Sus scrofa: one gene and its partners. The protein of the gene in region 3 interacts with the protein of the main gene of each other region in a pairwise test. Links are inferred from orthologs where the notes say so. Each region holds a gene or a part of one and is shown on either strand. Other genes may lie near its edges. The genes, in order: TOX4, KCTD13 and ZMYND19.

Evidence for each region.
Region 1: the proteins of ZMYND19 (region 3) and TOX4 interact in binary tests that used the Homo sapiens proteins (3 or more experiments, as listed by UniProt). The two-hybrid records come from large-scale screens. The link is inferred for Sus scrofa from reciprocal best matches to the Homo sapiens genes ZMYND19 and TOX4.
Region 2: the proteins of ZMYND19 (region 3) and KCTD13 interact in binary tests that used the Homo sapiens proteins (3 or more experiments, as listed by UniProt). The two-hybrid records come from large-scale screens. The link is inferred for Sus scrofa from reciprocal best matches to the Homo sapiens genes ZMYND19 and KCTD13.

The regions. Positions count from the first base shown.
Region 1 is NC_010449.5:77,685,444-77,689,092, reverse strand, and holds part of TOX4 (TOX high mobility group box family member 4), read left to right. Parts: intron 1-767; coding exon 768-1,028; intron 1,029-1,368; coding exon 1,369-1,599; intron 1,600-3,649. UniProt on the Homo sapiens protein: Transcription factor that modulates cell fate reprogramming from the somatic state to the pluripotent and neuronal fate. In liver, controls the expression of hormone-regulated gluconeogenic genes such as G6PC1 and PCK1.
Region 2 is NC_010445.4:18,127,955-18,131,603, forward strand, and holds part of KCTD13 (BTB/POZ domain-containing adapter for CUL3-mediated RhoA degradation protein 1), read right to left. Parts: intron 927-3,649; coding exon 837-926; intron 746-836; coding exon 693-745; intron 1-692. UniProt on the Homo sapiens protein: Substrate-specific adapter of a BCR (BTB-CUL3-RBX1) E3 ubiquitin-protein ligase complex required for synaptic transmission.
Region 3 is NW_018084833.1:414,897-418,430, forward strand, and holds the end of ZMYND19 (zinc finger MYND domain-containing protein 19), read left to right. Parts: intron 1-1,998; coding exon 1,999-2,179; intron 2,180-2,408; coding exon 2,409-2,552; 3' UTR 2,553-2,950; downstream 2,951-3,534. UniProt on the Homo sapiens protein: May be involved as a regulatory molecule in GPR24/MCH-R1 signaling.

The DNA of each region.
Region 1 (3,649 bases), on a different chromosome or scaffold from region 3:
TGGGATTTTTGAAAGAAAAAAAAGTTTTTTCCCCCTACTATTACGGTTTTCACATCCTAGGATTCAAATGTGAGAGTGAGTGGCCTTGGTGATAGTGGTGAGCATAGCTGCCTTGCAAATGTAAGTGTGATAGCTGCCATGTTAAGGGATGGATTCAAATATGTTTGGGAGGTCCCTTGTGGCGCAGAGGGTTAAGGATCCAGCATTGTCACTGCAGTGGCTCGGGTTGCTGCTGTGGCACAGATTTGATCCCTGGGCTGGGACTTTCCACATGCCACAGGCTCCCAAAACAAAAACTGTCTTCTAGCACATTCCATCAGTGGTACATCACACACTCTGCTCGATGTCAAACATCTCTAACATTGGCCTTATTTACTCTGATTGCTTGTGTATTGCAACTTTTTAACAGCCACTGTTTTAGGAAGGTACAGGGGGGGAATTTTTCTTTACCCTGAGTATCATCACTATCCCCAAATTACTGAGTAATTTACTTGCTCTTTAAATTAACATTTCCAAAATTAAGACTGCTTTGGTTACTTTTGGTTATTTTGATACAGCCCTTTGTGTACAAAGAAGTGACTTTAGTAATTTCTGTATTTTATTAAAAAGCTTAGTATGTCTTATATGTATATAAATTATTTGATGTTTAAACGGTGATACATCTTGGGTAAGCAGAGAGTTTATGAACTGTCCTGAATTTGGGTGGGGGGGGGAGAGTGGTGTCTTTTATATTTAGTGTTTATAATTAGTCCTTCTGCTTCTCTCAGGACTTGGATCATTCTATAGGAACTCAGTATAGCGCCAACCCACCTGTTACAATTGATGTACCAATGACAGACATGACATCTGGCTTGATGGGGCATAGCCAGTTGACCACCATTGATCAGTCAGAACTGAGTTCTCAACTTGGTTTGAGCTTAGGGGGTGGCACCATCCTGCCACCTGCCCAGTCACCTGAGGATCGTCTTTCAACCACCCCTTCACCTACTAGTTCACTTCATGAGGATGGTGTTGAGGAATTCCGGAGGGTGAGGCATTCCCTGCCAAAATCAAATCTGCCATGTTATTCTGGGAAACTCTTGCCCCACAGATTCTACTGAGTATTCTTTACTCCTGTCCTGCCATCTCCTTTGATCTTTTCTGGGTTTAGGGTCCCACCTCTCAACTTATAATTTACATTTCTCCTTCCAATCCCCATTCTTACTGGTCCTCACATACTTTACTAATATCTTAATCTTACTCCTTCTATTTTTAGCATTTCTGAAAATTCTATTCATGTGACTAATTTACCCCATTTAAAAGTCCATTTCTTAAGTTCTGCAGACACAATACTTCCCTTCTTCTTGTAATTTTCTTTTTCCCCTACAGCAACTTCCCAGCCAGAAGACAGTTGTGGTGGAAGCAGGGAAAAAGCAGAAGGCTCCAAAGAAGAGAAAAAAGAAAGATCCTAATGAACCTCAAAAACCAGTTTCAGCATATGCTTTGTTCTTTCGTGACACACAAGCTGCCATCAAGGGACAGAATCCCAATGCCACTTTTGGGGAGGTTTCAAAAATTGTGGCCTCCATGTGGGACAGTCTTGGAGAGGAGCAAAAGCAGGTGAGCAAATAATGAAGAACTAGGGGATAGTGAATACTCTAAGAAGCAAGGGGATAAAAACTAAGTTTTTAGAGTTCCCATTGTGGCACAGTGGAATCGAATCCGACTAGGAACCATGAGATTTCGGGTTCAATCCCTGGCCTCACTCAGTGGGTTAAGGATCCGGTGTTGCTGTGAGCTGTGGTGTAGGTCACAGACGAGGCTCGGATCCTGCATTGCTGTGGCTGTGGCGTAGGCTGGCAGCTACAGCTTCAATTTGACCTTTATCCTGGGAATCTCCATATGCCTCGGGTGTGGCCCAAAAAAGCAAAAGTTTTAACTTTTTTACAAATTCTTATTTGATATAAACTCTTTGTTAATGGCATTCAAGATCATTCTTTGTCTTAAAAGTTGTAGCCATACATGGAATCCAGAATACCCATCTAAAAATTATTAATTAGTAAAATAATTTAGTATGATAATTAGTTATTATAAAAACACTAAATCCAACTTTTTTTTTTCTGCAGTCCATTTTATTTTATTTTTTTTTTCCCACTGTATTTTTTTTTTTTGTTTTAAATCCAACTTTTCTAAGCCCTTTCTTTTCCATCTGTAAAATTAGGCTATGCTTCGGTAGGTTGCATGCTATAGTTAACTATAAAATCCATAACCAGGAGTTCCCTGGTAGCACAGTGGGTTAAGGACCCAGCCTTGTCACTAATGTGGTGAGGGTTCCATCCCATCCTAGGAAATTCCACATGCTGCAGGGGCAGCCAAAAAAAATAAAATCTACAACTGGAGTTCCCACTGTGGCTTAATGGGGGCTGTGGCATCTCTGCAGCACCAGGTTGCAGGTTTGATCCCCAGCTGGACACAGTTGGTTAAGGACCTGGTGTTATAGTCGCAGTGTTTATCACAGCTGTAGCTCAGATCTTATGGGCCTGGGAATTCCATAAACTACAAGCAGTCAAGAAAAAAAGGTATTAAAAAATAAAATCTACAACCAAGTTTGGATTTACATTTTTTTGATTGGCATCATATAAACTTGAAAAATATCATTTGGAGTTCCTGTCGTGGCGCAGTGGTTAACGAATCCAACTAGGAACCATGAGGTTGCAGGTTCGATCCCTGCCCTTGCTCAGTGGGTTAACGATCCGGCGTTACCGTGAGCTGTGGTGTAGGTTGCAGACGCAGCTCGGATCCCGAGTTGCTGTGGCTCTGGCATAGGCCAGTGGCTATAGCTCCGATTGGACCCCTAGTTTGGGAACCTCCATATACCGTGGGAGCGGCCCAAGAAATAGCAAAAAAAAAAAAAAAAAAAAAAAAAAAAAAAAATCATTAATTTCCCTAAATGTAATCTGGATTAAACGAATGAAAATTATGATACTATGTAAGATATAATTGAAATTGAATGGTTTTAATTATCATTACCCTAAAACTCCCCAGGTCTTATGTCACAGTGAGTTGTTAATCATTAAAACAAAAAACTGGAAGTTCCCACTGTGGCTCACTGGGATCTGCATCTCTGCAGCCCCAGGATGCAGGTTTGATCCCTGGCCTGGCACAGTGGGTTAAAGGATCTGGCATATCTGCAGCTGCGGCATAGGTCATAAGGGCAGCTCAGATCTGATCCCTGGCCTGCAAACTCCATGTGGGGCAAGGCACCAAAAAAAGAAAAAAAAAACAAAACAAAAAAAACCTGAATTTATTCTACAATAAATTTATTCTACAAAATTTATATCAGTTACCTACTTCTCAAGTAAATTTAATGGCTTAAGACAGTAGCAATTTATTATTTCTTACGATTCTACAAATTGGTTGGGTGGTTTTCTTGGTGTTTTTGCCTCATATCTACAGTTGTACTCAAATGGTAGCTAATATTTGATAGCTGGTCAAGATGACCTAGCTCCCACATCTGGCAGTTGGTGCTACCTATTGTCAAAAATGCCTTGGTTCTCTGTCATCCTCCAGTAGGCTAGACTGACTTCTTTACACTATGGCAGACTTAAAATAATGTTCCAAGAGAATAAAAACTGATGCCCCCAACATCTTTGTGTCAGTTCAACCACAC
Region 2 (3,649 bases), on a different chromosome or scaffold from region 3:
GGGGGCCAGGAGGCCTCAGCAAAACTGGCTTCTCTCCTCCCTCTGCTCCTCCCAGCACAGGGGCCCAGATACCCAGCACTCGAGTCCTGCCTGCGAGTTCGGGGCCCAGCAGCTTCCTCTGGCCTTGGGGCCCGGCTAAGCAGGCTTCACAAAGGAAGCAGCAGCATTTGCTGAGCAAAGGCCAGCACGGCAGAGTGGCTACTGAGGCAGGCTCTGGAGCCACGCTGCCTCACCTGGCATCCTAGCTCCACCACTTTTTAATGGAGTGACGCGAAGCCAGTTACTTCACTTCTTGGTGCCTCAATTGGCTCACCTGTAAAATGGAGATCATGAAATCTCCTGACAACCGTGAGGGTTTTGTGAATAAATATAGGGAGAGCTATACTTCAACTCATGCCTGGTATAAACTAAGCACTAGGAAATGTGAGTTATTGTCATCTAATCCTTACCTGGACCCCAGTTAACTGAAGATAAAGCCGAAGCTCAGAAGGATTAAAAGAAGTAAAAGGAACTCGGCAAACGCAAACCAAAATGACCTGTCCCAAGTACCCGGTGGGTAAGCGGCAGAGCTGGAGTTTGCATCCGGGCAGGAACCTTTTCGTCCCTCTGTGTGGTTGTAACCCTCCCCCTGGGTCGGGAGCAGGGCTGAGCCCAGGATTCCACCCACTGCACCTCCCCGCCCCCACGGTCACCTGGTGTAGGAGTACTTGTTGTTACTGCGGTTGTGCAGGAGCTTCACCACGGGCTGTCGGGGGAGAGAGGATGGAGAAGGGTGGGGGGTCAGGCTGCAGGGACAGGCCCCCAGCCTCCACCCTGACAGGGCTCAGGGGCCTCACCTTGGAGGTGCTGGCCAGGAGCTGCTGCTCCTCCCGGGGAGATGTCACCGTGGGGATGAGGCACAGCGGGGACACGTTCTCCCTTTTTTGCTGGAGAAGAAGCGGAAGGTGATTAACAGCACGACCAAGGGGCACTCACTCCCCTACTTCCAAAGCTGCTTGTTGCCTTCGGGAAAAAGTCCAGACTCCTTAGTGGTCCACAGGGCTCTGCGGGATGCCAACGCTGGTCTCCTCTCTACCAGGCTCCCTTGCCTGCTGGGCTTCGGCCTCACCTGTCCCTTCACACATCCAGCTTGTGTCCACTGGGCCCTTTGCTGCTCCCACTGCCTGGCACGGTCTGCACTCAGTTGTTTGCATGGCTGGCCCCTCTCATGCCATTTAGATCCCAACTCAAACAGGATCCCTAGGAGGGTGCTGGTCCTCCTCCCTAAGCTCCCTGGCTAAGCAGCCTCCTCTACTGCTTCCTTTTCACATGATCAGTTCGCCTTCATGGCATGTAGTTCCTCATGTTTCCTTGTTTTTTCTTGGCGTATTTGCTATGATCTCTTCCCAGGGAATAAGTAGCTAGTATACAGTGGATGCGCAATAAGTTATCGGTTGAACGAGTGAACCAGGCTGCCTGGGAGGTTGGAGGGAGAATCAGAACTAGATACCTAGGTTTCTTTCCTCTTCTTTTAGAATCTTCACGCCAAAACCCCTCTTGCCTCGCCTAACCGAGATATGAGATATGCAATTCTTTTTCGTCTTTTTTTTTTTAATGGCTACACCCAAAGCATATATATGGAGGTTCCCAGGCTAGGGGTCAGATTGGAGCTGCAGCCGCTGGCCTACACCACAGCCACAGTAACACAGGATCCAAGCCGTGTCTGCAACCTACACCACAGCTCACGGCAACGCTGGATCCTTAACCCACTGAGCGAGGCCAGGGATTGAACCTGTGTCCTCACGGATGCTAGCCAGATTTGTTTTTGCTGAGCCACAATTGCCATTGCTCTCTAGATGTGCAATCCTAATATAAACTCCAAAAGATTTTTTTTTTTTTGGAAACTCCTAAGACTTTCTAAAATTAATATGGAAGAATAAATCTACCATTACTTAGGTTAATTTTTTTTTTCTTTTTACAGCCCCACCTGCGGCATATGGAGGTTCCCAGGCTAGGGGTCAACAATTGGAGCTGCAGCTGAGGCCTATGCCTCAGCCACAGCAACACTAGATCCTAGCTGCATCTGCGACTTACGCCACAGCTTGCAGCGATGCCAGATCTTTAACCCACTGATCCAGGCCAGGGATTGAACCTGCATCCTCATGGACACTATGTCAGGTTCTTAACCCACCAAGCCACAAGAGGAACTCCTCACGTCTATTTTTAAAAATAGTCAAACAAGAGAGACTGACTCTACCAGATATGAAGAGATCTTACAAAGCCATAATCATGACAACACTGCAGTTCTGGTGCAGGAACAAACAAACAAACAAAAACAACAAAAAACACACTAGAGAACTTGGAAACATACTAGTGTACACAAGAGAACTGGTATTTATAGAGAGAACATCACACATCAGTGGGGCAAGTGTGTCTTAGTTACTGTTGTGTAACAAACTGTCCCAAAACTGAACAGCTTAAAGCAATGACAAATACTTATTTTCTGTTTCTGTGGGTTAGGAGTTCAGGAGTGGCTTAGCTGAGTGCTTTTGGCATGGGGTCTCTCATGAGCTTAGTGTCAAGTCGGCTGAGGCTGCAGTAATCTGAAGGCACGTCTGGGTCTGGAGAATTTGTTTCTGAGAAAGCTTATTCATATGACTGGTAAATGCACGCTGGCTGTCAGCAGGAAATATTTGATCCCTGTCACTGAGGCCTTTCCATAGGGTTGTTTGAGTGTCCTCACAATATGGCAGCTGGCTTCTCCAGAGCAAATAATCCAAGACAGAGCAAGATGGAGACCTTACTGGTTTTTGTTGTTGTTTCTTTTTTTGGCCACCCCTGTGGCATGTGGAAGTTCCTGAGCCAGGGAGTGAATCCAGCTCCTGGAGCCACAGCACTGACGATGCCGGATCCTTAACCCTCTGAGCCACAAGAGGACTCTTATTGTCTTTTATGATCTAGTTTTGCTAGCCCTATTCAGTGTGGGAGGGAACACCACAAGGAAACAGGGATAACTGGGGACTCCCTTGGAGGCTGGTGCCCTAGTCCACTTTCTGGCTCCCATTGATTCATACTGTTTGCATATGCAAAACACACTCACCTTCTCCCAAGATCCTCCAAAGTCCCATCCCATTACAGCACTAAGTACAGAATCTCGTCATCTAAATCAGGTCTAGGTAGGGATGCTGCTCCTTGGGAGTAGCTCTTAACTACAGCTCCTTAAGTACATTTCCTCTGGATCTGAAGACCTGTGAACTCAAGAGACTTGTTATCTCATCCACACTCTCAGTATGCACTGGTGGACCAGGCATTGGGATAACCACTCTCGTTCAAAAGGTCAAGGGGGGCAGCAGGAAGCAGAGAAGTCAAAGTTCCTTCATAGAAATTCGATAATCCAGTTGGACAAAGGTTGGGAGCTCGCTGATGTCTAATCCTGTCCAGGAATCATTCTCTAGACCTGAGCCATCTTTCCTTCTCCATGAAAGACAGTCCATATTTGCAGCTCCATAGTTTCTTTAGATTTCTTTTCTTTCTTTCGTCATTTCTTGGGCCACTCCCAGGGCATATGGAGGTTCCCAGGCTAGGGGTCGAATTGGAGCTGTAGCTGCCAGCCTCCGCCAGAGCCACAGCAACACGGGATCCGAGCCCCATCTACAACTTACACCACAGC
Region 3 (3,534 bases):
TACCACCTGGCTGTTGTGAACAATGCGCCTGCGAACACAGTTGTGTGAACAGCTCTTCCGAGTCCCTGCTTTTGCTTCTCTCAGTGTGTGCCCCGAAGTGGAACTGCTGAGCCGTGTGATGGCTGTGTGTTTAGTGTTTGGAGGAGCCCCCGTGCTGCTTTCCCAGGCATCTGCACTGTTTCACTTCCCTCCGGCGGTGCAGAGGCTCCAGTGTCTCCACATCCTCGCCAACACTTGCTTTCTGTTCAGTTGCTAGTAGCCATCTCCTGAGTGTCGGGTGGTCTCATTGGGGAGTTTTTTTTACTGTGTTTTGGTTATGCGGTGGCACGTGGAAGTTTCGAGGCCAGGGATCAAACCCACGCCACAGCAGTGACCTGAGCCACAGCAGTGATGATGGCAGATCCTCAGTCCCTGTGCCACCGGGGAACGCCCCATAGTTTTGACCTGCATTTGACTGATGATCAGTGATGCTGAGCATTTTTTTCTTTTTTGGCCGCTGCGCAGCACATGGAGCTCCTAGGCCAGGATCAGGTCTGAGCTGCAACTCTGGCAACCCACTGTGCCGGGCCAGGGATTGAACCTGTGTCCTAGTGCTGCAGAGATGCTCCAATCCTGGTGCACTATGTGGGAATTCCTACCCATTTTTACTTATTTATTTATTTATTTGCCACACCTGCAGCATGCAGAAGTTTCGGGGCCAGGGATAGAACCTGTGCTACAGCAGTGACAACACCGGATCCACGGTGCCACCAGGAAACTTTTAGGTTTTAATTGAGTTGTAGAGTTCTTTATATATTCTAGACTTGAGTCTCTCATCAGCTAGATGATGTGCAGATGATTCCCCCCTCCCATTGTGTAGGTCGCCTTTTCAGCCTATTGGTTGCCTTTTTTTTTTTTTTTTTTTTTTTTAAAGGGCTGCACCTGCGACATGAAAGTTCCCTACACCACAGCCACAGCAATGCCAGATCCAAGCCGTGTCTGCAGCCTGCACCACAGCTCACAGCAACGCTGGATCCTTAACCCACAGAGTGAGGCCAGGGACCAAACCTGCATCCTCGTGGATCCTAGTTGGGTTCGTTAACCACTGAGCCATGAAGGGAACTCCTTTGATTGCCTTTCGATACACAGAACTTTTGGATTTTTCACGGACTCCTTGTGTCTACTTTTTCTTTCCTTGCTGTGCCTTTGGTGTCATATCCAAGATCATTGCCAAAGCCGACGTCATGAAGCTTTGTCTGATGTTTCTGAGTGTTTTATAGTTGGAGTCTTTGTTAGGTCCTCAGTCTATTCTGAGTTCATTTTTGTATGCGATGTTCGAAGAGGGCGACCCTTCCTTTTTAACCAGGTCCCTCCAGGCTTGGCCACCAGGGAGGGTGGGCAGGGGATGGTTCACCCGGTCCTTGGCCATCACGGTGCGGGTGCTGCTTCCTTGGAAGGCCAGCTGCTCCCTCCCTGGGGTTTGCCCCCCTCTCCTGTACCTGTTGCGAGGCCTGTGCAGGCACCTCAGTTTGAGCATCAGGCAGAGTTTTTCGGTTGTGACCTTCGAGCTCCTCCAGCAAGATGCACGGTTAGATGTAGAGCCGCACGCGGCACCGAAGCAGAGGCGGCTTAGCCAGGTGCAGAGGCCAGTGCTCTTGCGGCCACCAGCAGGGAGAGAGGCTGCCTGGCCTTGCTCAGGGGGCGCAGGCTTGGCTGGGCCTGGGGCTGAGACCACATGATCTACATACCTGTTGTGTGCCTGGCTGTCCGAGGGGTGGGGGTGATTGACCAGCGAGGCAGACACAGCCCTGCCCTGTACCTTTTTGCGGTTGAGGTTACAGAGAAGTAAGTCCCGGCGTCGGGGTGGGCCAGAGGAAGGTCGGGCTGCCAATCAGAATGTGGGGGAGGCATCCTGAGATGAGCAAGCCTCTTGTCCATCCCTGGAGTCAGTCCTTGTCACCTCCGTGCCTCAGCTCTTTCTGGCCAAAGAGTACTGACGCGTCTGCCTCTCTCTTTAAGGGAGCAAAGCTTATACTGGCTCGCGATTCAGCAGCTTCCCACGGACCCCATAGAGGAGCAGTTCCCTGTCCTGAACGTGACCCGGTACTACAATGCCAACGGGGACGTGGTGGAAGAGGAGGAGACGTCCTGTACCTACTACGAGTGCCATTACCCTCCCTGCACGATGATTGAGAAGCAGGTGCGCTGCAGCTGGCTCCGGCCGCCCCAGCCCTGCCCGGGGTCTGGTCCCTACAGACCCCAGGCCTCTCCTAGAGCTGCCCTTTTGCAGCTTCCCGGCTGTGGTGGCTGTCCCTTTGTCGCCGCCTGACCGGGGCCCAGGCCCTTCCACCCAGTGCAGGGGTTGCCGGGTCCTCGCGTAGTCTGTGCCCCACAGCCGACTCCCCAGCGTGACCTGTGTGTCCTTTCAGCTCCGGGAGTTCAACATCTGTGGGCGCTGCCAGGTGGCGCGCTACTGTGGCTCCCAGTGCCAGCAGAAGGACTGGCCCGCGCACAAGAAGCACTGTCGGGAGAAGAAGCGCCCCTTCCAGCACGAGCTTGAGCCGGAGCGATGACCGATGACCGGGCAGCAGAGCCGCCTCAGGCCCGAGATGCCGCGGTGTCTGGATCTCCGCGGGGAGGTGTGGACCAGGCTGATGGCTGGACCAGAGCTACTGGAGGAGCCGCCCAGCCCCGCCCCCGCGCCACTGGCCCCGCCCCCGCCCCGCCCCCGCGCTCGCCTGGAGCTGGAGCAGAGACCGCTGGGAGGCTCCGCAGGGACAGTTCTCATTATTTATATGTTAATATGTTTGTAAACTCATGTACAGTTTTTCTGGGGGGAGGCCGTGGCAGGGTTAGAAATTACAAATAGTGTCATTTGCTGTAACACTCAAATTCTCCGGGTAGCCGGGTCGAGGAGGGCGGCCTGCCTGGGACCTGGCACAAGGCAAAGTAAAGGGTGGGACACCCGGGACCCTGACTGTGCCCTTCTCTGCTCGCCTCCTCCCCGGTCGTCCGTGGACGTGGGTGTGGCTGGAGCCTGTGCTGTGGCCAGGCCTGGGGGTGGCTGCCGAGGTCGGCACTCTTCTCAGCCACCACTGGTGCCCTCTCGCTTTGACTCAAGAAGCGCGGGCGTCGGGGCTCAAGGTGGGGCCTCTGCCAACAGCTTTGCTGTTTCCTGGCCTGGGCCGTGGCCCCCAGGCCAGGCCTCCCTCTCCTTCCTGGAAGCCACAGAACACTGAGCACTGGGCAGCATCTTGTACACCTTGCATGGCCATCTGGGGGCCAAGAGCCAGGCTGTATGGACTGGAACTTACAGGTTTGCAGGGAGAGTGAAGGCTGGGCATGCCAGCTGTGGTCATCCATCGAGGGCCATGCCAGGCACCACGTGGGTCCCGCAGGCCCCTGCCACACTTCCCCTTTTGCAGCTCTTCTGCCATCTTCAGAATCCCCTGTGTGTTCTTGCTTCCCTGGCTGAGGCCAGCCCCCTTGGTAGCCTGTGGTCCATGAGCTGAGCTTTTGGTAGTTTCTGCAGAGCTTGGAGTCCTCCTGGGGAAC